Linked DNA regions of Mytilus edulis. The protein of the gene in region 1 interacts with the protein of each later gene in a pairwise test. Links are inferred from orthologs where the notes say so. Each region holds a gene or a part of one and is shown in the gene's direction. Other genes may lie near its edges.

Region 1 (15,500 bases):
TTATCTCCCTGTAATTCTGCTATGTTTTTCCTGAGAGCTTCTATTTCTATATCATGGTCACATGCATATTCCTAAAATTAAAATGTTTCATAGTACAAGTGTATTATACTGAAAAGAAAGGTATAACTGAGATGGATAGTTACTACTGGTCTATTTTACATCACTCATACAACATTTTGAATTGTCATTATAATAGATCTCAGACCCATGGTAAATTGAAATCTGTAAGGTATTGGAGCAAATACCGAGCAAATATTTACCTTACTATAGATCTCATATATATTTAAAGAAACATTTCTAACAAAATTCTCTGCAGGGCCCAGTTTGATACAACCACAGAGGTCAAAACATTGAAAATTTGGGCCAAGTATGGACATAACATTTAAGCTAGGTACAGCTCTGAATTTTAATTGTGACAAAATATTAGATACAGCATAGGTTTCTGACACAGAATGAATGCAGTTTAAGAACTTAAAATATCAAATGATAAATAACACAAAGAAAACTTCAGATACATTGGTATCTATATTTTGACTACTACAAACTAATCATGGTGTGTAATAAGGAAACGAGATGATATAACTAACCTCAACTAAATCTTTCTTCATTTGTTCCATTTCTTCTGCAAATTTTCTCTTCAGTTCATCAATCTCTCTATTTTTCTCTTCAAGTTCTTTATTTTTTGCTGTGTTATCAGGTTTCTTTGTATCAGTTGTTTTACTGTCTCTGTATATGATACCAGATGAGAGAAATAAAATACAATATATTGCTGTAAGCATGAATTACATACTGCTTTCTTGGGTTTGTCAGATTTGTTTTGTATGGTACATATTGTAAATGATTCGGGTATATAAAAGTATTGATTTTGTTTTTGTTTTTGAGGTTTGGGAGAGGGAGGCAGTCTTTAAACTGTTCACATTTGCTTTAAATGATGAAAACACAAGGTCTCAACTCCAGAACCATTTAAATATTCAAGTAAATGGTACCGTTAAAAAGAATTTCATGACATGTTTTATAATACCGTATAGCAGTCTATTTTCATGGAGGTGTAAATTTCCGCCGGTAGAACAAAATAGCCAAAAATAAATGCCACCAATTTGAAAGTGTAGATGCAAGGGTATTGATAAAAGTTTTGAATCCACCAAATTGATAACTGCCAAAATATTTTGTACACTTTATTCAATGAAAGTCGCGAAATTTTATACCTGCGAAAATAACCCGCTTTACAGTATATAATTTATAACATGATTCTTCAAAACAATTAAAACTGAAGAATATTTTGAATTTAAAAATGTTTCCCTTGCCTTCTTCCAAATGGTAATCCAACTTCTAAAACTTTTTGTTCTCGTTTTGTGATGGTTGTATTCTTTGCCTTTCGTAATTCGTCAAGCCTCTTTTTCAAACCTGCTACCTCATCTTCAAGCTGTAAGTAACAATTAAAATCAGGTTTATTGTTCAATTTGTTCGAACCAATATCTGGTAACAAAATTAACGGTACCAATTTTTCTTGCACCAGATGCGCATTTCGATAATACATGTCTCTTCAGTGATGCTCGTGGCCAAAATATTTGCAATCCAAAGTATATATAAAAGATGAAGAGCTATAATCCAAAAGATCAACGTAAGCTCATCAATGACTGGAGACCAATTAGAATATTTCAGTGGTTATTGAGAGATATTTGAAAACCAATGACATTGAGAAAATAAAAATCATGGAGTTGAAAAATGGTATCACTATATATATATATATATAACTACAGTCTGCTTTACTGATTTATTTTCATTTTTGTACTCAAGTTTTCAGCTTATTTTCACCATGAGCATGATGAGTTGGACACCAAAAATAACATCCTTTCATTGCATAAAACAGGAACTTTTAAAGACCACATAAACAATAATTTAATAAATAACCCAGTTATTTTACAATCATTTGTAACTAAGAAGTTTTTGGAGGTCTGTCACTGAATTAATATCAGCCCGGAAGTTGAACAGCAACTGTTGAGAACTTAAAACTAAGAGCTCATAATAAGCTAGAAATACAATACTTAGAAACTTAAGATGAAAATAAAAAAGAAAGTAGATGCAAATTAGTTAGACAACCAAATGTGCATTGTACAAATATCAGACAATTACATCTCAAAAATAAAATAATTGGAAGGCAGGCAAAACTCACTGCTTATATACCTATTCAAGGTTAAGGTTTAAAACCTGAATTATTCCTTAAATGAATAATCACTTACTAAAATGATGTAGCTTTTTTAGTGTTAATTTGGTATTTCGCAAAGTATAGATACAGAAACATTTACAATTATGAATCTGAAACTATACAGATGAAAAAAACTCGGTAATGCCCATATCTTTTGCTATTTAACTTAAATTTTACTTAAATTTTCTTTAGTTATGCCACACCAAAATAAACATGAATCATGACAAAAATATCACTTTTTCTTGGCAGTATGAACAATTGTATCTCACCTCTTTGACTCGTAGTTTTAGAACAACATCATTCTGTCTACTGTCTATAGGTTTCTTGGTTGTGGCCATATTTATCAGTGTTTATCTGCAAATGTACAGAAAATGAAAACAATATGTCAGAATAAAATGGGAAATGCATCATGTATATCAATGAGTCAGCTATGTGACAAAATACACATATTAAATGCACTACATTGCCAGTGGCGGATCCAGAACTTTTCCTAAGGGGGGGCCCGCTGACTGACCTAAGGGGGGGCCCGCTCCAGTCATGCTTCAATGATTCCCTATATAATCAACCAAATTTTTCCCACGAAAGGGGGGGGCCTGGGCCCAGCCCCCCCCCCCTGGATCCGCCTATGATTGCTGATACTGCTTGCATTGCCTTATGTTAACAATTACAACCCTCTAATCCTATTCAATGTACAAAGGGGAAAACAATCCCAAATGTAAATAAGTTTAAATATAGAGACAATATTTCATTGAATTCAAACTCATATGTCGAAAATAAACAGACAGACGTGCATGTAACACCATGACCAAACAAGAGGCACTCATTTGTTTGATGGGTTTTATCTTTTGATTTTGCCATTTGATTAGGGACTTTCCGTTTTGAATTTTCCTCAGAGTTTAGTATTTTTGTGATTTTACTTTTGTTAACTTATGGACTTGTAGGAGTCAATATTTGCAATTCTTTAATTTAGGTTAAAAACATGTATTTCTTGATTAAAACTAATTGGACTTATTCATTGTTATTGAAGTCATAAATTGTCTTAAATTAAATGGAGACAAATCTTTGAATCTACAAATTAAGACCTCTATGAGTCAAAAGCAGATTTAGACTTATTTATGTCTGAGCTCTGACTGTTTATATATAACTTTATTTTAATGAACTGTTGGATATTTGTTAGTCTGCAAAACTATACAGTTACAGTCTTTTGATGAGGTAAATATGTGGTTTTATTGACTTTTGAATAACTGATATACACTGAGGCAATGGAGGCCGAAGTGAATATCAGTTTTTTAAGTCAATTTAACCACATATTTACCGAAACCAAGGAATTGTATATTCCTTGCCGAAACAAAAGACAGTAATTGTTTTATTCCATATTCTGAGAGAAATGTATACATGTAATGGAATGTAATTACCAAAACCAATTGTACATCAAAGGATTTTTACCAAAATTATACATGTAAAAGTATGCGACATTTTGTGTGGTGAATAAACTTTTTCCTTCGGTGAATATGCTTATTTATTCAAAATCTGATTCATATATAGAAAACCCTATTAAAGTTATATCAATATGGAATAATCTAAGTTATTCTATAAAAAATCACTTATTGTCTGCCAGTAAAACACACAAAAATTTGAAAATGAATAGGTGAACTATAGGTGAAAACCGTAAAATCATTGAAAAATTATGTAAAGCAGTGATTTTTGTTTCCATGATAATCAAAAGTGTTTATTCTGAAAACATAAACTAAAACTCTATGCTAAATCAAAATGAATTGAAAATGTGAAATGTATGCGATCTTTCTTAATGCGACTTCTAAATACTAAATAAATTTAAAGTGTGTGTCTTACAAAACAATAACATTACAATAATAAATAGTCTAGGACATCAAATTGTGATCAAAATATTTCGTCCCAAACACAGAGGTTAGTAAAGTGTTGATTCTATCAAGTAGTTTGGCAACTTTGTACAATTCGAGTTGACCTTTCATTTTTATCTCACCTTGCCCGAAGGACCAAGTGGGCTTTTCTCATCACTTTGCGTCCGTCGTCCGTCGTCGTCATCGTCTTTTAACTTTTACAAAAATCTTCTCCTATGAAACAACTGGGTCAAATTTAACCAAACTTGGCCACAATCATCGTTTAAAAAATGTGTCCGGTGACCCGGCCAACCAACCAAGATGGCCGCCATGGTTAAAATAGAACATAGGGGTAAAATGTAGATTTTGGCTGATATCTCTGTATTTAGAGCAAATCTGACATGGGGTAAAATAGTTTATCAGGTCAAGATCTATATGCCCTGAAATTTTCAGATGAATCGGAGAACCTGTTGTTGGGTTGCTGCCACTAAATGGGTAATTTTAAGAAAATTTTGCAGTTTTTGGTTATTATTTTGAATATTATTATAGATAAAGATAAACTGTAAACATCATAATGTTCAGCAAAGTAAGATCTACAAATAAGTCAACATGACCAACATGGTCAGTTGACCCCTTAAGGAGTTATTGTCCTTTATAGTCAATTTTACAAATTTTTCGTAAATTTTTGTAATCTTCTACAAAAATCTTCTCCTCTGAAACTACTGGGCCAAAACTTAGCCACAATCATTATTAGAGTATGTAGTTCAAAAAATATGTGCGGTAACCCGGCCAACCAACCAAGATAGCCGCCATGGCTAAAATTAGAACATAGGGGTAAAATGTAGATTATGGCTTATAACTTTGAAACCAAAGCATTTAAAGCAAATCTGACAAGCATTTAAATTGTTCTATCTGCCCTGAAATTTTCAGATGAATTGGACAACTGGTTGTTGGGTTGCGGTCCCCCAATTGGTAATTTTTAAAGAAATTTTGCAATTTTTGGTTATTATCTTAAATACTGTTATAGATAGAGATAAACTGTAAACAGCAATAATGTTAAGCAAAGTAAGATCTACAAATAAGTCAACATGACCAAAATGGTCAGTTGACCCCTTAAGGAGTTATTGCCCTTTATAGTCCATTTTTAACAATTTTCATTAATTTGGTAAATTTTTGTAAATTTTTACAAAATATGTTCAACTGTAACGAAAGGGCCAAGTTTATTATAGATAGAGAAAATTGTAAGTAGCAAGAATTTCAGTACATAAGGATCTACAAACACATCACCATCACCAAAACACAATTTTGTCATGAATCCATCTGTGTAATTTGTTTAATATGCACATAGACCAAGGTGAGCGACACAGGCTCTTAAGAGCCTCTAGTTTGAATCTCAAAAAGTGGCGGGGTTTATTTCAAAATGCAAATAAAATCCGTATAGGTAAACTATACGATTGATAATAAGAGAATTGAGGATTTTAATACAAATTTATTTTAAAGAACGTTATCCACCGATTCCTTCTGCTTTGTACGGGCCGGCTAAACTCCATCGTCTACTTTCAAAGAATTCATTAAGTAACATTTCAGAGAATATTAGCGATTTCAATTTGAGTTCAACGAGTCTCGTTGATCCCTGATTTTAGGGACATTTGGTCAACTGGCATCAGATAACATTCTTTTGATGAATGCTGCACCTGAATCGAAACACTACGTCTAGAACAAATACGCTGGGGGTGATACTACATTTATTCGACCAAACATCTTTTATTATCTTTTGAAATTGAAGTTGATGTTTTTTTATAATGAAAGATATAAAAGATGTAAATAGAGGAGAGTGTTTAAGATGCGACGAATTTATTAAAAAAAGCAAAACAAGAACGTGATGATGAGCGTGATCCAAACAAAATTGTATATATTCTAATGTACTTGACGATGAAAAATATCCAAAAAGTGAAAATGTACGTCACACTAAAACTTAGAAACATGTTAACGAACTAAAATTAAAAAAACCAAACATAAATGACTTACAAAGGCCAGAGGATCCTGACTTGGGACAGGCGCATAAATGCGGCGGGGAGAAATATGTTATGACCATAATGTGATATCTCAACCCCCCTCTAAACCTCTAGCCAATGAAAATAAACAAACACACAGCAATACGCACAGTAAAAGTTCTTAAAACTCAGTTTAAAAGAAGTCCGAGTCCGATGTCAGAATGGGTAACCGTTAAAAAGAAATTAATAATTCATATGTTTCCAGATAGATTTTTTTTATAAACAAAACAAATAAGAGGGACTTCAGTATTATCAAAATTGCAAATAATTTGTTCGTTAACAGAATAGTTTTTTTAAAATGTCGTTAATACTTACAAAATCAAAAACCTTTATTGACATATTTGTTTTTAATCAAATGTTTTTTTTTGTTATCTTCAGAGCGAATTTTGAGAAACAGCTTAGAATAGTAATATGCAATTAAAATTTGAACGATTTCATACTTAGTTCAGTGTATGTTCACTTGTTTTTGTTAATATGTCTTTTTATGAGGGGGGATAGGAGGGGTCCTGATCCCGAAATCCAGGGCTTGAAAACACGAAATCCCGAGGTCCCGAATTTAAATAAAGTAAATCCCGACGTCCCGAAATCCAAAAAAAAATAAAAAAATTCCCGAATCCCGAAATCCCGAGCTTAAAAACACCTGATCCCGGAGTCCCCCCTCATTTATTGAGTTAAGCCATTCCAATTAATGTTTTATAGTGTATCTTTCTATGTTGTAATGTTACACTAATGTTTCAGGTAAGGGTTACGGTTGCTACCTATTTTAAAACGGTTAAACATGCTGCATATGTTTGCATCTGTATTAAGTCAGGGACCTGATGTTCGGTGGTTGTAAATTGAGTATGCGGTTCTTAAAGTGTTTCTCGTTTCTCATTTTGTATACATAGATTATGCCGTTGGTTTTCCTGTTTACTAACGATTGGTTTTAAAATAGTCAATTTTGGGGCCCTTTATATGTTGCTGTTCGGTGTTTGCTAAGCCGTCCCCGTGATGAAAAGCGTACTATATTGATTGATTGGTTAAATATTTCTCAGTCATGTCCTGTGTTTGAATTTGTTTATTAGCTTTTTGGTCATGAATGTTTGTCTCTAATATTTAATTAACTGTGCATTTGTATTCAGATATCGCAGATCAAATTTATTCGTTCATTGTTTAATCATACGTTTTTTGATTGAATTAAGTCTCCCAATTGATATTTTATCGTATGTTTTTCTTTGTTGTGATGTTATGCTATTGTTTCAGAAAAAGGGAGAAGGTTTGGATCCATTAAAACGTTTAATCCCGCTGCAAATGTTTGCACCTGTCCTAAGTCAGGAAGTAGTTGTCGTTTGTTTATGTAATATATACGTATTTCTCGTTTCTCGTTTTGTTTATATAGATTAGACCGTTGGGTTTCCCGTTTGAATGGTTTTACACTAATAATTTTGGGGCCCTTTATAGCTTGTTGTTCGGTGTGAGCCAAGGCGCCGTGTTGAAGTCCGTACTTTAACCTATAATGGTTTACTTTTTAAATTGTTATTTGTATGGAGAGTTGTCTCATTGGCACTCACACCACATCTTCCTATATCTATGACCTATAATGATTTACTTTAACAAATTGTAAATTCGATGGAGAGTTGTTGCATTGGCACTTACACCACATCTCATCATATCTAATTAGGTCTGCAATATGGAATATGCCAGTGTTGGAAATCAAATTTGATGTGATTTATTAACAGGCAAAGAACCGAAAGCTTTGTTAACAGATTATGTCTACTGTTGTTTTGTTTAAATAGTAATAAATGTCCGAAATATTTGTATTGTTCCTACGACTGAAATTTCTTTGATTGCAATTTATTTAACTCCCATAAGAACGGTTTTTACGATCAGTTTTAGAAACTATATTGTATCCAAAATGTTATTTATAGAATCGGTTCTTGATATGTTATCAATTCTCTTGATATTATCAATAAGACCGAGAGGAATGGCTGTCTGTATTTTTATGCCCCACCTATGATAGAAGAGGGGCATTATGTCTTCTGGTCTGTGGGTCCGTCCGTTCGTCCATTGTACAGTCCTTCCGTCAGTTCGTCCAATCTAATTAAAATATTGATCTCTGACTACGTTATACCTCATATGGATAGTTGTTAGATCTCATATGTAGTATAACGTAATCAGAGATTAATATTTTAATTAGATTGTCCGTTCGTCCGTCTGTCCCGCTTCAGGTTAAAGTTTTTGGTCAAGGTGGTTTTTGATGAAGCTGAAGTCCAATATCAACTTAAAACTTAGTACACATGTTGCTTATGATATGATCGTTCTAATTTTAAAGCCAAACTATACTTTTGACCCAAATTTCACGGTTCAGACCACTGAACATAGAAAATGAAAGTGCGAGTTTCAAGTTAAAGTTTTTGGTCAAGATAGTTTTTGATGAAGCTGAAGTCCAATCAACTTGAAATTTAGTACACATGTTCCCTATGGTATGATCTTTCTAATTTTAATGCCAAAATTAAATTAGACTTTTACCCAATTTCACGGTCCATTGAACATGGAAAATGATAGTGTGAGTAGGGTATCCATGTAAGTAAGTAAGTAAAACTTTATTTGGATTCGGCATATTGACAAACAATACAAACATATAAAGCTCAAATGAGCTTTTCACCGAATATAAACATATGCAATAACAAATAAAACAAGGCATGCAGTATCATGCAATAAATAATAAAAAGCAGCACCAAAAATTAACTCTAAGCAAATAGCATATCCATGTATCTTGCAAAATACCAGAACATATATATGAAGCACCAATTTTTTTTTAAATTTGCAGTTAAAAATATTTTTTTTTTTAATTTATGATTTATAAAGTAAAAATTTCAAATCTTTCAAATTTTAAAATGTATAAAACAAAATTTCAGTTGCAATGCAAGCTGTTAATGCAGCATAAAAAGCATAAATATTGTAACAGAAATTATCTACAGGCAGACTCGCAAAAACATTCCGTTCCACTCCAGGACTGCCGGAACAAGACTCTTAAAATGTGAGAAGCAGTCCTGAAATGGTCTGGTAAGCTATTCCACAAAGAAGCAGCAGCAAAACTAAAAGATTTTTTTCCACCTGAGATAGTTCTAACCTGTGGTATTTCCAAAATATTACTGTATCTAAAAGAATAGTTTAGTTTAATTTGGAGTAAATTTTGTAAACATACAGGAGCCAAATTATTTAAAATTTTAATACAATTTAATTCAACTATTTCGTACAGACTTTTTGATTCCCCATGCTGCTTTTTAAGTACTGTTTTAATTAGATGTTAAAACTTATTTGTCTAAAAATGTGTTCCCTGTTGTTGACTACATGTACCATTAATCCACCCTTTAGCAGAAGATGACAACCGGAAGTTTATTTGTTTTGCAGATTTCTTGGGTCAAAGTTCAAATATAGTTTCAAAAATTTCCTTAGCACTAAGATAAAACCTATTTTCTAATTTAGTTTGAATTGAGTATCTTAAATTAGTTTTATTTAAACAAATTTAAATCTGAAACTAAAGCAAAACAGCGATATAAGTCCCATTTGTTCAAATGGAAACAAAACAACAACGCCACCTATCGCTCAATCGGCCATTTTGAATGTTATTGGTAAGTTTGGTGGTCAAGATATAAATCCCCAGCCATCGGACTTATAGATAAACAAAGAACTCTCAAATTTTACAATCATTGAGTTGAAACATTTAATTACCTGAGAAAGTATTTATTTTACATTGAAAGATATGTTCCGTTGTAATTTAAGTAATAATTCATCCACTCTATAACGAAACAGCTGATTTTTTTTTTATAATTATTACCAAATATTTATTGCAAAGCCAACAACCTACGCGGATTTTACAAAAGTATATAGAGTTTTCATTATGTATTAAGTACGACTGTTAATTCAAGATATGAAAATTGTGCTGGAATTCATTAGAAAATATACGAACTCCCGAGACCGGTATAAATAACCGATTTCAATAAGACGCCAAAAAGAAATACCTTTCTGTAACCCGCATCAGGTTCCAGTAAGACACTCACCGTCTGCCAGTTATAAACAATGACAACCATAAATGAGGATGTTGAATTTGGATTATCTTTTTTTAATTTAACTCTAACTATAGTCTTTCAAAGAAATTTTGACCCCCCCCCACCCCCCCCCCCCCCCTTTCTCAACATCTATGTAGTTTTGAACTCGTCAAATTGTTGATGATGATGGAAGAAGGTCACACATTAGCTTATTTCGTCATAAACGCACAGTAACCAAAATAAAATCATTCTTGTAATTGTTTTATCCTCCTAACATGCCTAAAGGGATAGAAAAGAATAAAATTGATAGGTTCAAGAGTTTATTTATAACTGAAATACCGTGATTTACCATATTTTGCCAATTTCCATTTAATAAATTACATCATCAGCAAAAAAATTGTTTTATTCAGGCCAAATTTATATCAGAATGATATCATTGGCAATGTATTTGTTTTAAATTTAGTCCAAATAATTATGTCTGGCAAGGCTATTTTATTTTTTTCTGGGACACCTTCCTACAAAGTAACGCTGAAGCCATTTTTACGTCTGGACTTAGAGTGCAAATATTTTTGGAACTTTGAGACCTAATTTTGACATTTTCATTGCAGACTAGAAATTTTCACGTAGTTACAAAGTCCTACCTCTTTGTGCTTATTGACACAAAGTTTTCCTGAAATATTTAAAAGAAATGATAAAATGAGATATACTTCCATTTCAGTGTTCCAGCTAGGCCGTTTTCAGAGGGCGCTGCGCCCGCCCCAGTCTGCACGGTTAGCCACTAGTCCGATGCCCCAGACTAGTAAAATTTCATTCGGACTAGTAAGTTTTTGCAAAACTTTGTTTGGCCCAATAAGAAAAATGTCAGAATATTGGTCTTCGGACTAGTAGTTGAAAAAGTTTTTGGTGCAGACTGCCGCCCTTTTCCGAGTGGCGCCCTGTGCCCTTTTTACAGTTTCCAGGGCGCCCTGCCTTTTTTGAAGATTGATTGCATATTAATTTGCGTATTGATATGATACGCTAATTACTAAATTTTACCTGGGGAAAAGATTATGACTTTGTTTACCACCCCAAGCTAATCAATGGTTACAACTGGTGTCATAATCTGTTGTTATAGGTAATCCGTTTATCGGATGGGTCATTAATGATCATCAACATTAATTCGTTCAAATAGAATCGGTCAGTCGGCAATTATCTTTGAAGAAATGTGCATACAACAACTTGGGCATAATTTGCGATGTTTACCGTAGTTTCATGGAAGAAACGTAATGACAGAAAGTTGGAAAACCATTATAAACTCGTTGAAGACATTGTTTTACTTGTTTTCTGTAAAATAAACAGAAAATTCAGACGTATTTGTCATTGACTGCCTTCATTTTTGATACGAAAATAATAAAATCGGCCGCCATATTGTGATCATATTTACATCATATTTACGTACTGTTTATAATCCTCCAAAGAAGGAGCACACCCGAATAAAGAAAGATAACTCAATCTGATTTTTTTCCTAGCATTGAGTAACCCATTTACATATTCTAAAATGTGTCTCCATACTTCTTGCTTAAGAATATATATGTTTAGGTATTTATTTTGAGTTATGGGAAAAGTTAAAGAGGGTCTTAGTAGCAGTGTTGGTAGGGTGCCTTGGTCATCTTTTTCTGTATTCTTTATTTTTGATACTATTTTTCACTGTTGCTTTATATCCTAAAATTGTGAATTTACTGAGCACAGCTGTTTTGTGCTGTATTGCCATCAAGCACAGCAGGGGTAGAAAGGTGAAACTGGTAAAATGTGGTAGACCATAGAAACAGTATGAAACAGATCTCCTTTCAAAACATACTGCATATAAAGTTCAACTGTGCCAAGCAATGATAAAAAAACTTGTGTGACAAGCTGCTTGACAAGTTTTTCAGCCTTAAAAGTAGAAAGATAGAGTTCTATATGGGCTAAAGATGTTGTTCTTGTATAACCTGTGATTCAACGAATAAACACAAATGTTTGATTAACATCTTTTATTAAAATATGCCCTTTCATATTATCATATCGCGCATTAAATGCCCTTTTTCAGGATTGGCACCCTGCCCTTTTGAAAACCTAGCTGGAACACTGCATTTGTTATTTTGAGGTGGGCAAATATTTATTTTGTTTTTCAATTAATTTTCCAGAATCTAAAGAAACTCCACTTCCAGTGAAAATAAAATAGAATATTAAACTCGGTCAAATCTGATGGACCCAAATTTCCAGAATGTTGGATTTACATTATCCCGCAATTCGGGTCACCAATGTTTCATATATCAAAGTGGGGTTACTACTGGGAAAAAAATCTTTCAATCTTTTAAATGCAATTTACATAGGTTTTATTTTGTGTATTTTCAGATTCAGATATCGCTGATGAGTTTCACATAAGTGAATATTTCGCTGCGTAAATAAATAAAAAGGAGTTTTGGATACATAAATGATGGCTTCAGCCAGAATGGAACAAAATATGAACCACGCTGGACCTCCACCCATGGATGGGAAAGGGAATCCTGGCACAGGGTATGGTCAATTTATGAACAACCAACAGAGAAAAGTGAAAATCAAACAATTTAAGATAATCAATGATCATGCATGAGTGAGAAATTAGTTGTAAACAGCAATAAGACAGCAATTCTAATGAAAGTAATCACAAAGCATTCTTTAATAAGCAACCACAATGAATTGCATATATTTTGAGATCACATATATTGATTACATACAAGAACTATTTTTAGCTAAAACTAAATCTTAGAAAACATGGTAAATATCTTGCTCAAAGATTTTGACAGCTACACATTTGTAAAAGATATGAAAATAAGACTTGTATGATTGTCAATGAGACATTCAACTAGAGACCAAATGATATAAATGATTTTAAGTAACCGTACAGCTTTCAGCAATGAGCAAAAACCCATTCCACATAGCTTTAAAAGACCCTGAAATGACGCATATAAAACAATTCAAACAAGAAAACTGATGACCTGATTTATGTACAAAACAATGAATGAAAAACTAAAGGATATTCTTCAACAAGTCATTGAATCACTTAGTACTGAATGTTAAAGGTTACACAAGTTTTTTTTTATGCCAAACCTGATCACCCTAACCTGGGACAGTGGCATTACAGTACAACATTAGAACTAACTATGAAAATAGTTCTAAAGGGTTAACTCATTAGATTGATACAAAGCAAAAAGACATACCCAACTTGGCAGAGTATAAATACGTTCCCACAACAAAAAACAACATGTTAAGTACACATCTGAGAGTAGTTGAAGTTACTTAAAGCTATTTCAAAGCAAGGCTTTCCAAAGAAGGCGGTAGACGGCAGATTTCCACAGTTTACAGTCGCTTCAAGTGCAAGCTACTTCACTGATAAAAATATAAATTCAAAAAGAAAAAATATCTTTTTCAATTGTTTTGTTCTTTTTCAATTATTTTGTTTTATTTGTGCCAGAGCTTCTGGGGGCCTTCAGCGGCCCCCCAGACCCCCTGCCATTTTGCCCCAAGCTGTTAAGCTTGGGCGTTTCGACTTCGCCGAATGCATGTTACAGCCACCTGCCACCTATAATTGTAATTTAGCCTACTACTTCAATTTCAAGGGAAAGTCCTGTCAAAGCCTATACGACTTATTAAAGGATTTCCTTTTTCATTAATTTTACATTTTTTGTTTGGAAAAAATTATGACCAGACATGTCAGATGAACTAAATTTCTTCAAAATGAGAAAAGAATTGTATTCAGATTTTCTTTAATGTTAAGTGAGTTATCTGCTATTGTCTTTCAGTGACCAGGGTTGGAAGTCCAAATTAAAGCTTCCTCCAAAGGATAACAGAATCAAGACGACTGTAAGTATAGTAATTAGGAAAAAATATTTACATTAGGTAAATTACAAAGGTTACCAACCTGTACAGCAACCTGATTTATAGAGTTCTTTAGACACTTACAAGTTATGTTGAAGGATTTTCCTTAGAGTTCACTACATAATATTATATATGATGTACATAATATTTTATGAACATGAAGTAGTTGTATACTTTACCTATTTGATAAACAAGACGATGAGAGAGATGTACATTGTACATGTCTAAGAATCTTTGATGATTTTGATTTTCTAAACTGATATATTGAATCTATGCATTTTGTCATTTGGACATTTATTCTGAATATTTTTTATTCCATTCAATGAAGTAACATGCACATTTGTAGCCTATTTAGTGTATATTTAAGCCTTTCAGTTTCAAAAGCAATGATGTGCAATTTCTCTGCTTTTTAGGATGTTACCAATACAAAAGGGAATGAATTTGAAGATTTTTGTCTGAAGAGAGAGCTTTTGATGGGGATTTTTGAAAAAGGATGGGAATCACCATCACCTATACAGGAAGCTAGTATTCCTATAGCACTTACAGGGCGAGACATCTTAGCTAGAGCCAAAAATGGTACTGGAAAAACTGGTGCTTATACTATACCAATATTAGAGAAATGTGACCCTTCAAGGGATGAAGTTCAAGGTAAAGATAAACTAATCTACTATTTTGTAAAGCTGTAATCTATAACAGGTTAAATGTCATTTGCAAAAAATGTTGATGTATAGGTTGACATGTTGACTTTATTCCATAAGACTGCAATCACAACCTACCAAGTACCAATACACAGAGATCAACATCAGACATTTTGTCTATACAATATGTCAAGTCTTAATTCACTGTTTTATGGTCATAGAAATATCAGGCTAAATTAATATTTGTAGCCTCTGGTATTTGTACATGTAACTTACAAGCTTAGTCTACAAATTAAGCAAACAAAAGAATGACACCATTAAAACAGTCCAAACTTACAAGCTTAATCTACAAATTAAGCAAACAAAAGAATGACACCATTAAAACGGTTCATAAATTATTATTTTTTAAATTGACGAAATTTTTGTTCATTTTTTACAGCTATGATAATTGTACCTACTAGAGAACTTGCCTTACAGACTAGTCAGATTTGTATAGAAATTAGTAAACATTTAGGTATCAAATGTATGGTGACTACTGGAGGAACCAATTTAAAAGACGATATCATGAGATTATATGAACCAGGTAAATATTATATACACTGAATGATGATGGTTGATACAAGTTTAGTCAGCATAGGTGGGTAATGTTATGAAGGGAGATAATTTCTCAAATTATAGAATTGTTTTAATTGAATATCAACTTATGTTTGAAATAAAAATTGTAATTAAAAAATAAGTTAAGTAAATAACACACTTCAATCAATTTTAAGTCCAGTATTGTTGACTTCATGACAGAGCAGACAGACTATACTTATTTTGGAGAACAATAATCTCAG
Region 2 (16,210 bases), on another chromosome or scaffold:
AACGGGTTCAACTGAGTCACAATATGAGTTATACATGTAGGTCAAGTGAGTGTAGTGAACAAGCTCAAAATTACTTCATATTGTGTCATGAAGCTAATATTTTGCAATATAAATTTGCAGACCACCAGATAATTGATTTATCAGGTTATATTTTGGTATTTTACATGATAGAAACTAGTGTTTTCTTTTTTCACCAGCAAACCAGAAGATAACTTGATAAGTTAAGGTCATACTTATAAATGTCTGTTCATGTATTATGATGTTGGTGATATGTCTGAGCCAAAGTTATGAGGGCTGGGTGAACGTATATGAAGTTGTGATATGTAACTAAGAAGAGCGATATAGACTGAGGGACCATCAATAACTACATGTATAATGATTGGAGGTTTTTGTGACATGATTCATGATAAGTGGAATTTGCACATGAAAAAATTAAGTAAATTCGGCAAATAATTGATGAAATTTCAGCAATCAAACCAAAGTTTCCATTCATTAGCTTTGAAATCAGTATGTACATATGTACTGGCACGTGTGTAGCCAGATACTCTGGTGTAACTACATGTATCCGTTATTACACCAATTAAAAGACTTCACTTCAGATCTTTAAGTCATTTGAGAAATTGATTGGGGGTGGGTATAGAACAGAAAATTAAAGTTTTGAATATGTGTCAAAGACACAATCACACTTTGCTAATATTGTACATAAAATGCATTAGTATGTATGAACTACAAGTCAAATACAAATGTACGTTATTCCTTGTTAAAAAAAAAATTTGGGCTGGAAGCTGGACTGATTTTTGTCGAGCCTGCAACTTTTGTTGCAGAAAGCTCGACATAGGGATAGTGATCCGGCGGCGGCGTTAGCTAACTTCTTAAAAGCTTTATATTTTAGAAGGTGGAAGACCTGGATGCTTCATACTTTGTATATAGATGCCTCATGTTACGAAGTTTCCGTCAGTCACATGTCCAATGTCCTTGACCTCATTTTCATGGTTCAGTGACCACTTGAAAAAAAAGTTCAAATTTTTTCTAATGTTGAATTCTCTCTTATTATAAGTAATAGGATAACTATATTTGATATGTGCGTACCTTGCAAGGTCCTCATGTCTGTCAGACAGTTTTCACTTGACCTCGACCTCATTTCATGGATCAGTGAACAAGGTTAAGTTTTGGTGGTCAAGTCCATATCTCAGATACTATAAGCAATAGGGCTAGTATATTTGGTGTATGGAAGGACTGTAAGGTGTACATGTCCAAGTGGCAGGTGTCATCTGACCTTGACCTCATTTTCATGGTTCAGTGGTTATAGTTAAATTTTTGTGTTTTGGTCTGTTGTTCTCATACTATATGCAATAGGTCTACTATATTTGTTGTATGGAATGATTGTAAGGTGTACATGTCTAGCGAGCAGATGTCATGTGACCTTGACCTCATTTTCATGGTTCAGTGGTCAAAGTTAAGTTTTTGAGTTTTGGTCTTTTTATCTAATACTACATGTATATGTCATAGGTCAACTATATTTGGTGTATGGAAATATTTTATGATCTTTATGTCAGTGGCACAGGTTTTATTTGACCGTGACCTCATTTTCACGGTTCATTGCACAGTATTAAGTTTTTGTGTTTTGGTCTATTTTTCTTAAACTATAAGTAATAGGTCAACTATATATGTTGTATAGAAGCATTGTTACAAAATGTAGCTGTACATGTCTGCCTGGCATTGTTTATCTGACCTTGACCTCATTTTCAAGGTTCATTGGTCTTTGTTTAGTTATCTTGGTTAATGTTAAGTTTATGGTACAGTTGTTATAAAGCTTAGCTTTATACTTAGGACTATCAACATAATATCAATGATTAGTATAGAAGGCGAGACATTTCAGCGTGTGCACTCTTGTATATATGTTGGATTGACTTGGGCCGGAGGATTTGCTGGTTTGACATTAAAGCAAAACATACATGTACATACATTGTATATAGGCTAATACTGGTAATAGCAACATAACATGTTCTTTGAGTCTTACAATGACTCCTCTCATTTCTTGTATTCAAGCATGCTCATCATTTTTCAAAAGCTAATGTCCTTGAACATCATCAATCAATAAATGTGGGAGATGGGATTTTACTAGGTTTTAACCTGTGCATATTGTGGATGTGCAATCTACTAATGAGTCAACAAGTTCACATGAATCATGAATGATCTATTTGATAAAAGGGTGCAAGATGATTTGCTGCATGAAACAAAAACTTCTACTAGCACTTGCTCAATTCAGGGCTAAAAAAACTTTAAAAAAAACTCCAGGGGTCACAACTGTTATTATATAACGTCTAGTTCTATATACATGTAGATATAATAAGATGTAATAAGTCTGTTGGAAACAATTAAATCATACCAAATAAGGCTAAAACCTCCTTGGTGAGAGTTAGGCTTCCACTTAATAGAATGATTAAAAAAAAATTGATGTTCATTCGGTAGGTAAGGGGTTACAGTCGAAATGGGTTTTGAAAGCATTCAAAGGTACATTTTGTAAGTTACAAACAAAATTTAGCTAAAAGTTGTTTTAAACACCAACACAATAATGTGACTGTTTTTTGTGACAAAATATTATACGACCGTGACCCCAAAATTTTTGTGGTCATATATTGGTATGATGATGGCGTTGTCGTCCGAAGACATTTGGCTTTCGCACTATAACTTTACTATAAGTTAATAGAAATCTATGAAATTTAAACACAAGGTTAATGACAACAAAAGGAAGGTTGGGATTGATTTTGGAAGTTTTGGTCCCAACAATTTAAGAATTAGGGGCCATTAAAGGGTCCAATAAGCATTTTTTTTGGTTTTCGCCCAATAACTCTAGTATAAGTAAATAGAAACAGGGCTCACGCTACCAGGCGACTTGGGCGAAGAAGTCGCCTTCCCGACCGTCACTTCGCTTTCCCCGACCCCCAAAAGCGAAATCAAGTCGCCCTGTTCTTGACGATACTCGCTTTCAGTCGCTTCCGTCATCGGACATTTTCAATTTTTACCAAGTTGATGAAACATCAATTTTTTATTGATAATTAAAGAAATTCAGACATAAACGATTCATTATCTTTAGAAAAGAAGTTGAAGCATTGTCTTCGCAGTGTGTAGCAGGTTATTTGATAAAAATACAACTTTTTATCACTTCATGCATTTTCGCAAGTTCCGGTGCTTGTTACTCGAAAACGTACATCAACCTAAATTTCGGCGGCAAAATAAGTTTGTTACTTCATTTAAACGTGATAAAAGTTGCCTCCAGTAAATGTTTAATCCATTTATTGCATTAAAAACGTCATGTTCCTTTTCAAATAACTTGTCAAACATCGTTTATTTTTGTAAATTTTCTTGCATTCGTCCGCCATTGACCGATTTCTAAACTACGGATCTGAACCGGACCAGCTATGACCGAAATCCGTACTTTTACGATAATTACTACGGACGGACGGACGGAACAGCTGACAGAAGAATATTGATCCCAAAGGGAAAAATTACGCATTCCACACACATTAAGAGACTTTTGGTTACATCTAATTGATTCTTGTATATAATTCCCTATATTTTTTGGATTGTTTCAAACTATTGATTAAAGTTGCTTAACTCTGATACTATTATACTAATTTCAATATATTATGGCCCAGCTGAATATAACTTTTATATTTTTTTTTATGAGAAACACTGAATTTCATACACAAGATAATTTTTAATTAAATTGTAATAATTATATATTATAATTTCTTTACATTTTTTAAAATAATTTTTTTTTTAGTGCTAGATATTTAGTTGGAATAAGTTTCTCACAAGAACCTTAGTAAAACTTAAACAACTTTTAATTTCAAATGTTACTTTAATTGTATTTTTTTTACTCGGATATGAATTGAACAATATAAAAAGAACATTATTTACATATATATGGCCCTTTATACTATTGTAAAATCCAAACATTGTAGCGCACCGCACGAATGAGCACTTCTCTTTCAAATCTCACCACTTCTCCCTATCAGTTTCAAAAAGAGAAGTCACTTCTCCCTATAATTCTGAAGTAGTGTGAGCCCTGAGAAATCTATGAAATTTTAACACAAGGTTTATTGCCACAAGGAAGGTGGGGATTGATTTTAGGAGTTTTGGTACCAACAGCTTAGGAAATAGGGGCTAAAAAAGGGCACAAATAAGCATTTTTTTGGTTTTCGCACAATGACTAGTATAAGAAAATAGAAATCTATGAAATTTAAACACAAGGTTTATGACCACAAAAGGAAGATTGGGATTGATTTTGGGAGTTTTGGTTCCAACAGTTGAGAATTAGGGGCAAAAGGGTTTAAAAATTAAACTTTGTTTGATTTCATAAAAAATTGAACTTTGGGGGTTCTTTGATATGCCGAATCTTATGTACTTAGATTCTTAATTTTTGGTCCCGTTTTCAAATTGGTCTACATTAAGGTGTTTAATTTTAACAAAAATTGAATTCTTTGGTTTTTTTTTATACATGTATGCTGAATCTAAACATGTACTTAGTTTTTATACAACCCCAAAAAAATTTTGGGATCGTATAATGGTATGATGTTGTCGTCTGCGACGTCATAGTCCGAAGACACATTGGTTTCCAGATAATAACTTTAGTTTTATTTAATAGATCTTCATGAAATTTTTTCAGAAGGTTCAATACCACAAAAGGAAGGTTCAGATTGATTTTGGGGATGATGGTCCCAACCGATTAGGAATTAGGGACCAAAAGGGGCCCAAAACAAGCATTTTTCTACTTTCAGGATAACAACTTGTGTAGAAGTATTTCATTTGCTCTGAAATCATACTGCAATGTTTAAAACCATAATTAGAAGGTTTGGATTCATTTTAGGGGTTATGGGGCCAAAGTTTAGGAATTAAGGGCCACAAAGGGGTCAAAACCAGCATTTTTCTAGTTTCAAGACAATAACTTATGTGTAATTGTATGGATCTCTCTGAAATTGTACCAAAATGTACCATATAACAAAGGGGAGGCTGGGATGAAGTTTTGGGTTAATTGCCCAAAATATGTAGGAATTATGGGCCAAAAAAGGGCCAAAAAGAGGCATGTTTCTAGTTTCCAAACAATCATGACAATAACTCGTGTTTAAGTGTATGGATCTCTCTGAAATTGTACTACAAGGTTCAATACTGTAATGGAAAGCATGGGATTATTGCTCCAAGGTGGTTTCAAAAAGTTTGGGGGGGGGGGATTTTTTGGTTTACCATTTTTTAAAGGTCTTCCTTTTTTAGCTCACCTGGCCCAAAGGGCCAAGTGAGCTTTTCCCATCACTTGGCGTCCGGCGTCGTCGTCCGGCGTCCGTCGTCGTCGTCCGTCGTCGTTAGCTTTTACAAAAATCTTCTCCTCTGAAACTACTGGGCCAAATTAAACCAAACTTGGCCACAATCATCATTGGGGTATCTAGTTTAAAAAATGTGTGGCGTGACCCGGTCAACCAACCAAGATGGCCGCCACGGCTAAAAATAGAACATAGGGGTAAAATGCAGTTTTTGGCTTATAACTCAAAAACCAAAGCATTTAGAGCAAATCTGATATGGGGTATAATTGTTTATCAGGTCAAGATCTATCTGCCCTGAAATTTTCAGATGAATCGGACAACCCGTTGTTGGGTTGCTGCCCCTGAATTGGTAATTTTAAGGAAATTTTGCTGTTTTTGGTTATTATTTTGAATATTATTAGCTCACCTGGCCCGAAGGGCCAAGTGAGCTTTTCCCATCACTTTGCGTCCGTCGTCCGTCGTCGTTAACTTTTACAAAAATCTTCTCCTCTGAAACTACTGGGCCAAATTAAACCAAACTTGGCCTCAATCATCATTGGGGTATGTAGTTAAAAAAATGTGTGGCGTGACCCGGCCAACCAACCAAGATGGCCGCCATGGCTAAAAATAGAACATAGGGGTAAAATGCATTTTTTGGCTTGTAACTCAAAAACCAAAGCATTTAGAGCAAATCTGACATGGGGTAAAATTGTTTAGCAGGTCAAGATCTATCTGCCCTGAAATTTTCAGATGAATCGTACAACCCGTTGTTGGGTTGCTGCCCCTGAATTGATAATTTTAAGGAAATTTTGCTGTTTTTGGTTATTATCTTGAATATTATTATAGATAGAGATAAACTGTAAACAGCAATAATGTTCAGCAAAGTAAGATTTACAAATAAGTCAACATGACCGAAATGGTCAGTTGACCCCTTTAGGAGTTATTGCCCTTTTTAGTCCATTTTTAACCATTTTTCGTAAATCTTTTGTATCTTTTACAAAAATCTTCTCCTCTGAAACTACTGGGACAAATTAATCCAAACTTGGCCACAATCATCATTGGGGTATGTAGTTTAAAAAATGTGTGGCGTGACCCGGCCAACCAACCAAGATGGCCGCCATGGCTAAAAATAGAACATAGGGGTAAAATGCAGTTTTTGGCTTATAACTCAAAAACCAAAGCATTTAGAGCAAATCTGACAGGGTAAAATTGTTTACCAGGTCAAGATCTATCTGCCCTGAAATTTTCAGATGAATCGGACATTCTGTTGTTGGGTTACTGCCCCTGAAATGGTAATTTTAAGGAAATTTGGCTGTTTTTGGTTATTATCTTGAATATTATTATAGATAGAGATAAACTGTAAACAGCAATAATGTTCAGCAAAGTAAGATCTACAAATAAGTCAACATGACCAAAATGGTCAGTTGACTACTTTAGGAGTTATTGCCCTTTATAGTCAATTTTTAACCATTTTTCGTAAATCTTAGTAATCTTTTAGAAAAAGCTTCTCCTCTGAAACTACTGGGCCAAATTTAACCAAACTTAGCCATAATTGGGGTATCTAGTTAAAAAAATGTGTCCAGTAACTCGGCCAACAAACCAAGATGGCCGCCATGGCTAAAAATAGAACATGGGGGTAAAATGCAGTTTTTGGCTTATAACTCAAAAACCAAAGCATTAAGAGCAAATCTGACAGGAAGTAAAATTGTTGATCAGGTCACAATCTATCTGCCCCTGAATTGGTAATTTTGAGGAAATTTTGCTGTTTTTTTTGTTATCTTGAATATTATTGTAGATAGAGATAAACTGTTAACAGCAATAATGTACAGCAAAGTAAGAACTAAAAATAAGTCACTATGACCAAAATAGTCAATTGACCCCCTAACGAGTTATTGCCCTTCATAGTCAATTTTTAACAATTTTGTTAAAATTTGAAGATTTTCAATAACATTTTCCACAGAAAGTACTGTTATAGATAGAGATAATTGTAAGCAGCAAGAATGTTTAGTAAAGTAAGATCTACAAACACATCACCATCACCAAAACACAATTTTGTCATGTATCCATCTGTGTCCATTGTTTAATATTCACAAAGACCAAGGTGAGCGACACAGGCTCTTTAGAGCCTCTAGTTATAGATAGAGATAAACTGTAAACAGCAATAATGTTCAGCAAAGTAAGATTTACAAATAAGTCAACATGACCGAAATGGTCAGTTGACCCCTTTAGGAGTTATTGCCCTTTATTTTCAATTTTTAACAATTTTTCGTAAATCTTAGTTATCTTTTACAAAAATCTTCTCCTCTGAAACTACTGGGACAAATTAATCCAAACTTGGCAACAATCATCTTTGGGGTATCTAGTTTTAAAAATGTGTGGCGTGACCCGTTCAACCAACCAAGATGGCCATGGGCTAAAAATAGAACATAGGGGTAAAATGCAGTTTTTGGCTTATAACTCAAAAACCAAAGCATTTAGAGCAAATCTGACATGGGGTTAAATTGTTAAGCAGATCAATATCTATCTGCTCTACAATTTTCAGATGAATCTGACAACCCGTTGTTGGGTTGCTGCCCGTGAATAGGTAATTTTGCTGTTTTTGGTTATTATCTTGAATATTATTATAGATAAAGATAAACTGTAAACAGCAATAATGTTCAGCAAAGTAAGATTTACAAATAAGTCAACATGACCGAAATGGTCAATTGACCCCCTAAGGAGTTATTTTCCTTTATAGTCAATTTTTAACAATTTTCATAAAATTTGTAAATTTTTATAAACATTTCCACTGATATTACTGGGCCAATTCATTATAGATAGAGATAATTGTAAGCAGCAAGACTGTTTAGTAAAGTAAGATTTACAAACACATCACCATCATCAAAACACAATTTTGTCATGAATCCATCTGCTTCCTTTGTTTAATATTCACATATACCAAGGTGAGCGACACAGGCTCTTTAGAGCCTCTAGTTTTCAAAATTTTTCAAATTTCAAATTTAAAAAAGTTTCAAGAAGAAATCTCCAATTGCACAGTATTGTGCAATAGATTTGTTACATCTTTGACTACATTAATTTTGTGACAAAAACCTATATTATGTCAAAATTTGATCACAATCCAAATTCAGACAGAATCAAGCTTGAATATTATGACCAAATTTGCCCCAACTGTTCAGGGTTCAACCACTGGGGTCGTACAAAGCTGTGCCCTGTGGAGCACCTGGTTTGATTATGGGCCCAGTTTTCAAGTTGGTTCTAATCGGGGTCCGAAATTAAACTTTGTTTGATTTCAACAAAAATTGCTCAGTATTACACAATAGCAAGAAATCTTCAATTGCACAATATTGTGCAATAGCAAATATTTTCAATTGCACAGTATTGCACAATAGCAAGAAATATCTAATTGCACAATATTGTGCAATAGCAAGAAATTTTCAATTGATTGGAGTTATCTTTCTTTGTTCAGAATAGTAGTTGAATCAACTTAAATCATTGTTTTATACAATATACAATGTATATTCACTTTTACTACCAACTGATAAATTAAAACAATCTTAGAAATTTGAATTGAGATCAGTTTTGGAAAAAGGGAAAGGGGAAAGGGGGATGTGAAAAAAAATGGGGGGGGGGGGGGGGGGGGTACATTTTTCTCATTTCAGATTTCATAAATAAAAAGAAAATTTCTTCAAACATTTTTTTGAGAGGACTTATTCAACAGCATAGTGAATTGCTCAAAGGCAAAAAAATTTAAAGTTCATTAGACCACATTCATTCTGTGTCCGAAACCTATGCTCTGTCAACTATTTAATCACAATCCAAATTTAGAGCTGAATCCAGCTTGAATGTTGTGTCCATACTTGCCCCAACCGTTCAGGGTTCAACCTCTGCGGTTGTATAAAACTGCGCCCTGTGGAGCATCTGGTTCAAATCTTTTATGGTGAAAAAATTATAATCACATGTGCAATTTTATTGTTTTGTTAATGTTTAAATTGTAGAAGAATCTAAAGATTTAGGTCTTGATAGATTGATGTAGTTCAAAAAAACAAATTTGGTTAGGAAGTAGGACAACCTACGGTAAGTTTTTCATTCACATGTCTAGAAATGATTGTCATGCCCAGAAGGGATATTCTTGTCAGGTCACAGTGGTTGGTATGCTGGTACATCTGATGTTCAGTATATAACTGTCTTACACAGGATTATAATATGCTATACCACCTGAGTCTTGGCTCAAAAATACGGGTAAGAGGAAAATGTTTTAAAGAGGTATTTTGGGGAATAGACTTATTTAACACCAAGGAATTTTGACAGCCAGTCTAATGTATGTCTATTAAGATTTTATAGCTTTTTCATACATATTTTCTTTTTGAGATTATGATTTATAGTTATACATTTTTTATATCATTTTTGAAAGGTCTTATTTAAAAAGCTCTTAAACCCTAAAAAGACCTTATATTCATACAGAATAAAAGACTTTTCTTTGTCAGATTTTAGTATTATTTGCGAAAAGTACTTATTTCATATGTGTTTCTCTTTTATAAGTTGTATAAAATTGCATTCATGGATTACTTGAAAGTTACAGTAAGATAAAGTTATTTTCACTTACAAATAATGAATTATGTATGCATTTATTATTTTGTTGGATACATATGCATTTGTAGGTACAGAACAAAATATAAAATTTCAATTGAATTATTTATTTCTTGTCTTGAATTGAAATAGAGACTTTTTTTTTTTTTTTAATTTGAAGGTACACAATGTAGAGCTATTTTGTAAATATTGACAAAAGAAATAAATCTGCTGATTTTGTTAGACATTGCTTTAATTCATTTCTCCATAAATGAAAAACTCTCCATGACTGTATTTCTTTACTTTTAAATGAAAATTTATTGTTATGAAATGGAAAGTTACAGATGACAAGTGACTGTGATTACAAAATTCTGACATGGAATTGAGGTCTTCAACCTTCTTGGGAGATTTATTTTTAGTTCATTACTGGCCAAATTTCAAATGGACATGGTATTCATTCTGAACAATAAGATACTATTTACATTTATATTTCAGGAGTTACGGAATGACACAGAAGAACAAGTTGATGAAGTAGAAGAAGTTGAAGGCGAAGAAGATGAATCTTTATCACCAGAACTCTTAATCAAACATCCACTTCAAAACAAATGGGCCTTGTGGTTTTTCAAAAATGACAGAACGAAAGAATGGACAGCGAATCTAAAATTGGTTACGGCATTTGATACTGTAGAAGATTTCTGGGGGTAAATTATATATTTATTAGTTAAAATTTTAATTTAAAACTTAATTTCTAGTAGAAGTGAAAATAGAATTTAAAAGTTTATAGAGCAGAGTATTAGTTCTAATTGTTTATTGCGTAATTTAAAAAAATAAATTTAAATGGAAATTCCATATTTAGAAAAGAAAAAAAAAGTACAGTTATTAAGATAAGGCTGTGCATAAAAGTGATTTTATAATTATACCATACTCCATAGGTGGGGGTTTATACACATTTACTTATGTCTGCCTGTCTGTTTTTCCATCCATAAACTTCTGGTGAACCACTCGCTTATCAATGAATGGCCATGTCCCATTTTTCAAATCAAAGCTTCTTAAAATTGGTATCAAGCTATTTGTGAGCTATTGCTATATTCTATTAAGATGTAAATAAATACATACAGGTAAATATTTTGTGAATTGTAATTATTGTTTTAGTTAGGAAAATTATTTTAATATCAATTTTAGAATATTAAAATCTTATTAGCATACACAGTCTTTAAATTGTTAAAGCTGCATCTCTATAGTCAACAAAACAAAACGAAAAATTTGTATTTGAAAGTGCATGTTTTTTTCATTAATGTCAAATAAGTTTTATATTAGAATTGCATTAAAAGTAAAATTTATTGTGAAGTAAAATGAACACATGAATGCACTGTAAATAAAATAAATATTAAAGCAGTTAGTATTTTAATTAAAATGCAAGTCACAAGTTATTTTTGTGATGGTTAAGCATGAAAACTGAGAGTAAAGGTATATAGTAGGTATTAAAATAGAATTTATCTGTCAGAAATGGTTGTGTTGTGACTGGGTTGTCAACATTTGATGGATTATACCATTTAGTGTGACATGTCTTCTAGCCCACTAACCTATAAACAATTATTTTGTTTATTGCACAATGATGAGGAAATCTTGCAATCAATAATGTCCAAATATGAATTATTGTAAAATACTGATATTGGAGCTATTTTAACATGTTTAATGACAGAAGGCTATTATAGGGAAATGCTTGTTTTAATATGTTATATTTATTTATTAAAATTTCAAACTTTGCTAGACACACCCAGAAAAATAGAAAATTAACGTCATGTCATACCCATGATGTCAAGGATATCTGTATTATTATTTGGATGCTTATTTACATTCCCTACCACCCTTGCCTCTTGGTAAATAGAGAAAAAGAACAATTAGTAGAATAACAATATAATCATGTTTCTGAGTTTGAAGCTCAAGTTTGAAGTCAAACTTAACCCGTAATGTTGTTTGGTTATATTAAAAGACATTCAATTTCAAGTTGAAGATTGTAATACATTTACATTTCACTTGGACAATGTGTTTTGTAAACACAGATAATTTATTCTGATTTTAACATGTACAATGTTGATAATTTTAGATTATATAACCATGTACAGAAAGCAAGCAAATTACCCTCAGGCTGTGATTACTCATTATTTAAGGTAAATATTGAAGGAAAAAGAAATTATTTTCTTGTTAGCTTTTATTACATGTATAATTTAACTCTATATGTTATAACATCTACCAACCTGTTATATGATGATAGTATGTGCGTACCTGATCAGATAACATAGTCTGTCATATTTAAAGATCTACATACTTACATTAGAATTTTTTTCAATATAAAACATACATATATTCGGGAAATGGACTACTTCGAGCAAAAAAATAAGTCTGTATGATACGGAGAGTAATCTGAGACTCAAGTCACAACCACAATGTCTAAATCTAGTAAACAAAATGTTGGTGCCAGTACTGAAAAAAAGCTTTTTATTATTCAATAGAACAGTCAGGACTCTACTTCGTCAAAATTATCTCCCCATTACGCCAGTTCATTTTCACATTCGTAGAAATGGAAGCCATTGTAGGGATGACACGCTGCCAATTTTGCTCTTGGCAACCGACAAATTTATCCACATTGCACCATTACGATCCTTATATGTCAGTTGTATTTTTAAAGACAAATGTATCAACTAGCTAATGAGCATTAGTTAACGATCTATTGTCTGATCGGTTGTCAGGTGGAATTTTCGAAAATTCATAAACATTAAAAAAAATTTGAATTAAATATTTCCTGGAAGGGCAGACTAGATTTGTTTAGTGATTGAAGACTATAAACCCTAGTTTTCACACACAAAAAATTATAATTTTTCGAAGATATGCATTTTCATCATCCAACTTGAAAGACTGTCGTCAAGTACTTTCAGTAAAAAATAGCTATTCGAACACACCTACTCTGTTTTTGTGATTCATTAGATAGGTATTTCACTTGACCCATATATTTAATCTTTTAGTACTGTGATTTTTTTATGTTATAAAGTCGACCTGTAGCTTTGATATATAAAAATGATAGAATCTGAAGCGAGACGATGTATGAAATATTCTTACTTTGTACGATATCAAGACAAAATATTCAACTCAAACACGCCCGAACATAAAAAGGTGCACTCGATTTTCTCTTTTTGATGCAATTGTTACCCATTTTTTGAAATTTTTTCTTGAGTCACATAATGGAAGGGCAGACACGAAAATTACTGAACTAATAGATTGATATGTTTTCCGTCCGTGGTAATTTTTTTTTATGCATTTTCTACATCCAACTTGAAAGATACCCATGTCGTCGACTTGATATCTAATTGTTCTGCTTACCTATGTACTAAATAAATTGAAAACTTATGCAAATGGTGTTTTCAAAATAAAACACTTCATAATTGAGAAGAAAATTGTAATTTTGTTTGTTTCTATTAACTTTTAAAATTTTTGTCACTATAGTAAACATTACAGTAAGCATTTATCGCCTTCTCTAACAAAGAGCTTCAATTCTTTTGTTCTATTTCAACCTGGTTTCCGACTGAGAATGGTCTCCTTTTGCATGATTCTTAGAAATCTTAGAAACAGCCATTTCTACAATTATTAGATGCCACTATTTAGACATATCACATGTACAAATATTTCTGAAATGCATTAATATGTGGTCCCCACAGTCACAAGGATGATTCGAATTTGAATTAGGCTGTATTGTTAAAGGTCTGTTTGCCATTGATGGGGTTATTTTGATTATCCTGAATTTACAAGTAAACATTTGTCCTATTCATTTAAGGATGGTGTTCAGCCAATGTGGGAAGATGATGTTAATAAAGATGGAGGAAGATGGTTAATTAATTTAGAAAAAAATAAACGATCAACAGATTTAGATAATTTTTGGTTGGAAACAGTAAGTATTTTAATACATGGACTGGTCAAGTATCAGAAATAAACAGATTTGCATTCATTTTCTTAAACAAAAAGTTTTTTGGTAAATACTTATACTTGATATTTGGGGCATCTGAAGACTTGCAACCATTGCCTTTAGATAGATTAAATATGTGGTTAAGGCCTTAAGTTTGGGACATTGGAGCACTTTTCCTTGAGTATACCCCTGGGTATCATCATTGAGCAGTAGCTGACAGTTTCACTTTTTATTTATTGTTTTGAATAAACTCAGCATCTGTAATTTTCTAACACAATTATCAAAAAGTGCAAGCTTTTGCTGTTGCTTGCCAGCCATCGGTCATTGTATTGTCCACTTTTATCTTACTTTAGAAAAAATCTGAAATATAAGGACAATACTGAACATTTATCATTTAAAGTTAGGATATAAATTTCATTTTTTACGATGCTTCATAAGATACATGTATCTTGGTGGGGAAGATTTAAAGACAATCCAGAAGGAGTCACGTTTAGATGACCTTCGTGTAAATTTTTGATCGACTGTTACTTTCTAGCTGACACTTTCATTGGAACATTTTTTAATGGAAATAGATACAAACCCATTGAAATAAAATAGAAGATACTGCAGGTATATATTCTTAAATCATATCGAAATGACTATCTAATATTTAATTCTTATTTCAGTTATTATGTTTGATTGGTGAAGCCTTTGAAGATTTTAGTGAAGATGTTAATGGTGCTGTTATTAATATTAGGAATAAAGGAGACAAATTGAGTTTATGGACGAGGGATAGTAGGAGACAGGATGCTACCATGAAAATAGGGTACATATACACATAGCAGTGCTATAAATTTGTGATGAATGATCCAATTTTGATATTTATTAATCATAGCACATGTCATTATACAATAGAGTGATGATATCGCATAAACTTTTGATCACTTGATAGCAGTGGATTAAAAACTGAAACCACTACCAGAAATTTTTAATAGTTTGACACTTTGAAATCATTACAAGGGACTTTTTAATTGATTGCACACTAAGAAACCTCTACCAGGGATTTTTAATGGATTTGACACTTTGAAATCATTACAAGGGACCTTTTAATTGATTGCATACTCAGAAACCACTACCAGGGATTTTTATTCAGTTGACCACCAAGAAACCATAACCAGGGATTTCTAATCTATCTCTTAGGGGCAATTGTAATAGTCTTTTTATGTTTACAGTTTTTAGAATAATTTTCTCTACAAACATAATTGTTAAGCTATTCACATTATGATCATGGGTGTAATTGCTATTTGTTAGATTTACACATTAATCTTTTTTTGCAGAAGAAAATTAAAAGAGAGACTACGAATACCAAACAAATTAGTAATAGGATTTCAGGTAAACTATATCATTGATATATATGACATATTTGTCTTTTGCCCATGAATGCTATCAATAACTAAAATTACATATTTTGGTTTGTTTATCTCCCCTCATACTGCATTTAAATACCATTAATGTTAACCAAATTACAACTTTAATATAAGTTATCTCCCCTCATTCTGCATTTAAATACCATTAAGGTGAACCAAATTGCAGCCTTAATGTAAGTTATCTCCCCTCATTCTGCATTCAAATACCATTAAGGTGAACCAAATTACAGCTTTAATAAAAGTTATCTCCCCTCATTCTGCATTCAAATACCATAAAGGTGAACCAAATTACAGCTTTAATATAAGTTATCTCCCCTCATTCTGCATTCAAATACCATTAAGGTGAACCAAATTACAGCTTTAATAAAAGTTATCTCCCCTCATTCTGCATTCAAATACCATTAATGTTAACCAACTTGCAGCTTTAATATAAGTTATCTCCCCTCATTCTGCATTCAAATACCATTAATGTTAACCAAATTGCAGCTTTAATATAAGTTATCTCCCCTCATTCTGCATTCAAATACCATTAATGTTAACCAAATTACAGCTTTAATGTAAGTTATCTCCCCTCATTCTGCATTCAAATACCATTAAGGTGAACCAAATTACAGCTTTAATAAAAGTTATCTCCCCTCATTCTGCATTCAAATACCATTAATGTTAACCAAATTGCAGCTTTAATATAAGTTATCTCCCCTCATTCTGCATTCAAATACCATTAATGTTAACCAAATTGCAGCTTTAATATAAGTTATCTCCCCTCATTCTGCATTCAAATACCATTAATGTTAACCAAATTACAGCTTTAATATAAGTTATCTCCCCTCATACTGCATTCCAATACCATTAAGGTGAACCAAATTACAGCTTTAATATGAGTTATCTCCCCTCATTCTGCATTCAAATACCATTAATGTTAACCAAATTACAGCTTTAATATAAGTTATCTCCCCTCATACTGCATTCAAATACCATTA

The links.
Region 2: the proteins of ATP-dependent RNA helicase me31b-like (region 1) and eukaryotic translation initiation factor 4E-like interact in binary tests that used the Drosophila melanogaster proteins (3 or more experiments, as listed by UniProt). The link is inferred for Mytilus edulis from reciprocal best matches to the Drosophila melanogaster genes me31B and eIF4E1.

What each region holds. Positions count from the first base shown.
Region 1 is NC_092348.1:71,999,742-72,015,241, reverse strand, and holds the start of ATP-dependent RNA helicase me31b-like, read left to right. Parts: upstream 1-9,491; 5' UTR 9,492-9,733; exon of another isoform or gene 9,734-9,841; intron 9,842-12,523; 5' UTR 12,524-12,602; coding exon 12,603-12,685; intron 12,686-13,950; coding exon 13,951-14,011; intron 14,012-14,439; coding exon 14,440-14,674; intron 14,675-15,103; coding exon 15,104-15,247; intron 15,248-15,500. UniProt on the Drosophila melanogaster protein: ATP-dependent RNA helicase which is a core component of a variety of ribonucleoprotein complexes (RNPs) that play critical roles in translational repression and mRNA decapping during embryogenesis, oogenesis, neurogenesis and neurotransmission.
Region 2 is NC_092352.1:11,376,506-11,392,715, reverse strand, and holds the start of eukaryotic translation initiation factor 4E-like, read left to right. Parts: upstream 1-9,422; 5' UTR 9,423-9,503; coding exon 9,504-9,539; intron 9,540-10,361; coding exon 10,362-10,567; intron 10,568-11,973; coding exon 11,974-12,037; intron 12,038-13,695; coding exon 13,696-13,809; intron 13,810-14,489; coding exon 14,490-14,629; intron 14,630-15,140; coding exon 15,141-15,195; intron 15,196-16,210. UniProt on the Drosophila melanogaster protein: Recognizes and binds the 7-methylguanosine (m7G)-containing mRNA cap during an early step in the initiation of protein synthesis and facilitates ribosome binding by inducing the unwinding of the mRNAs secondary structures.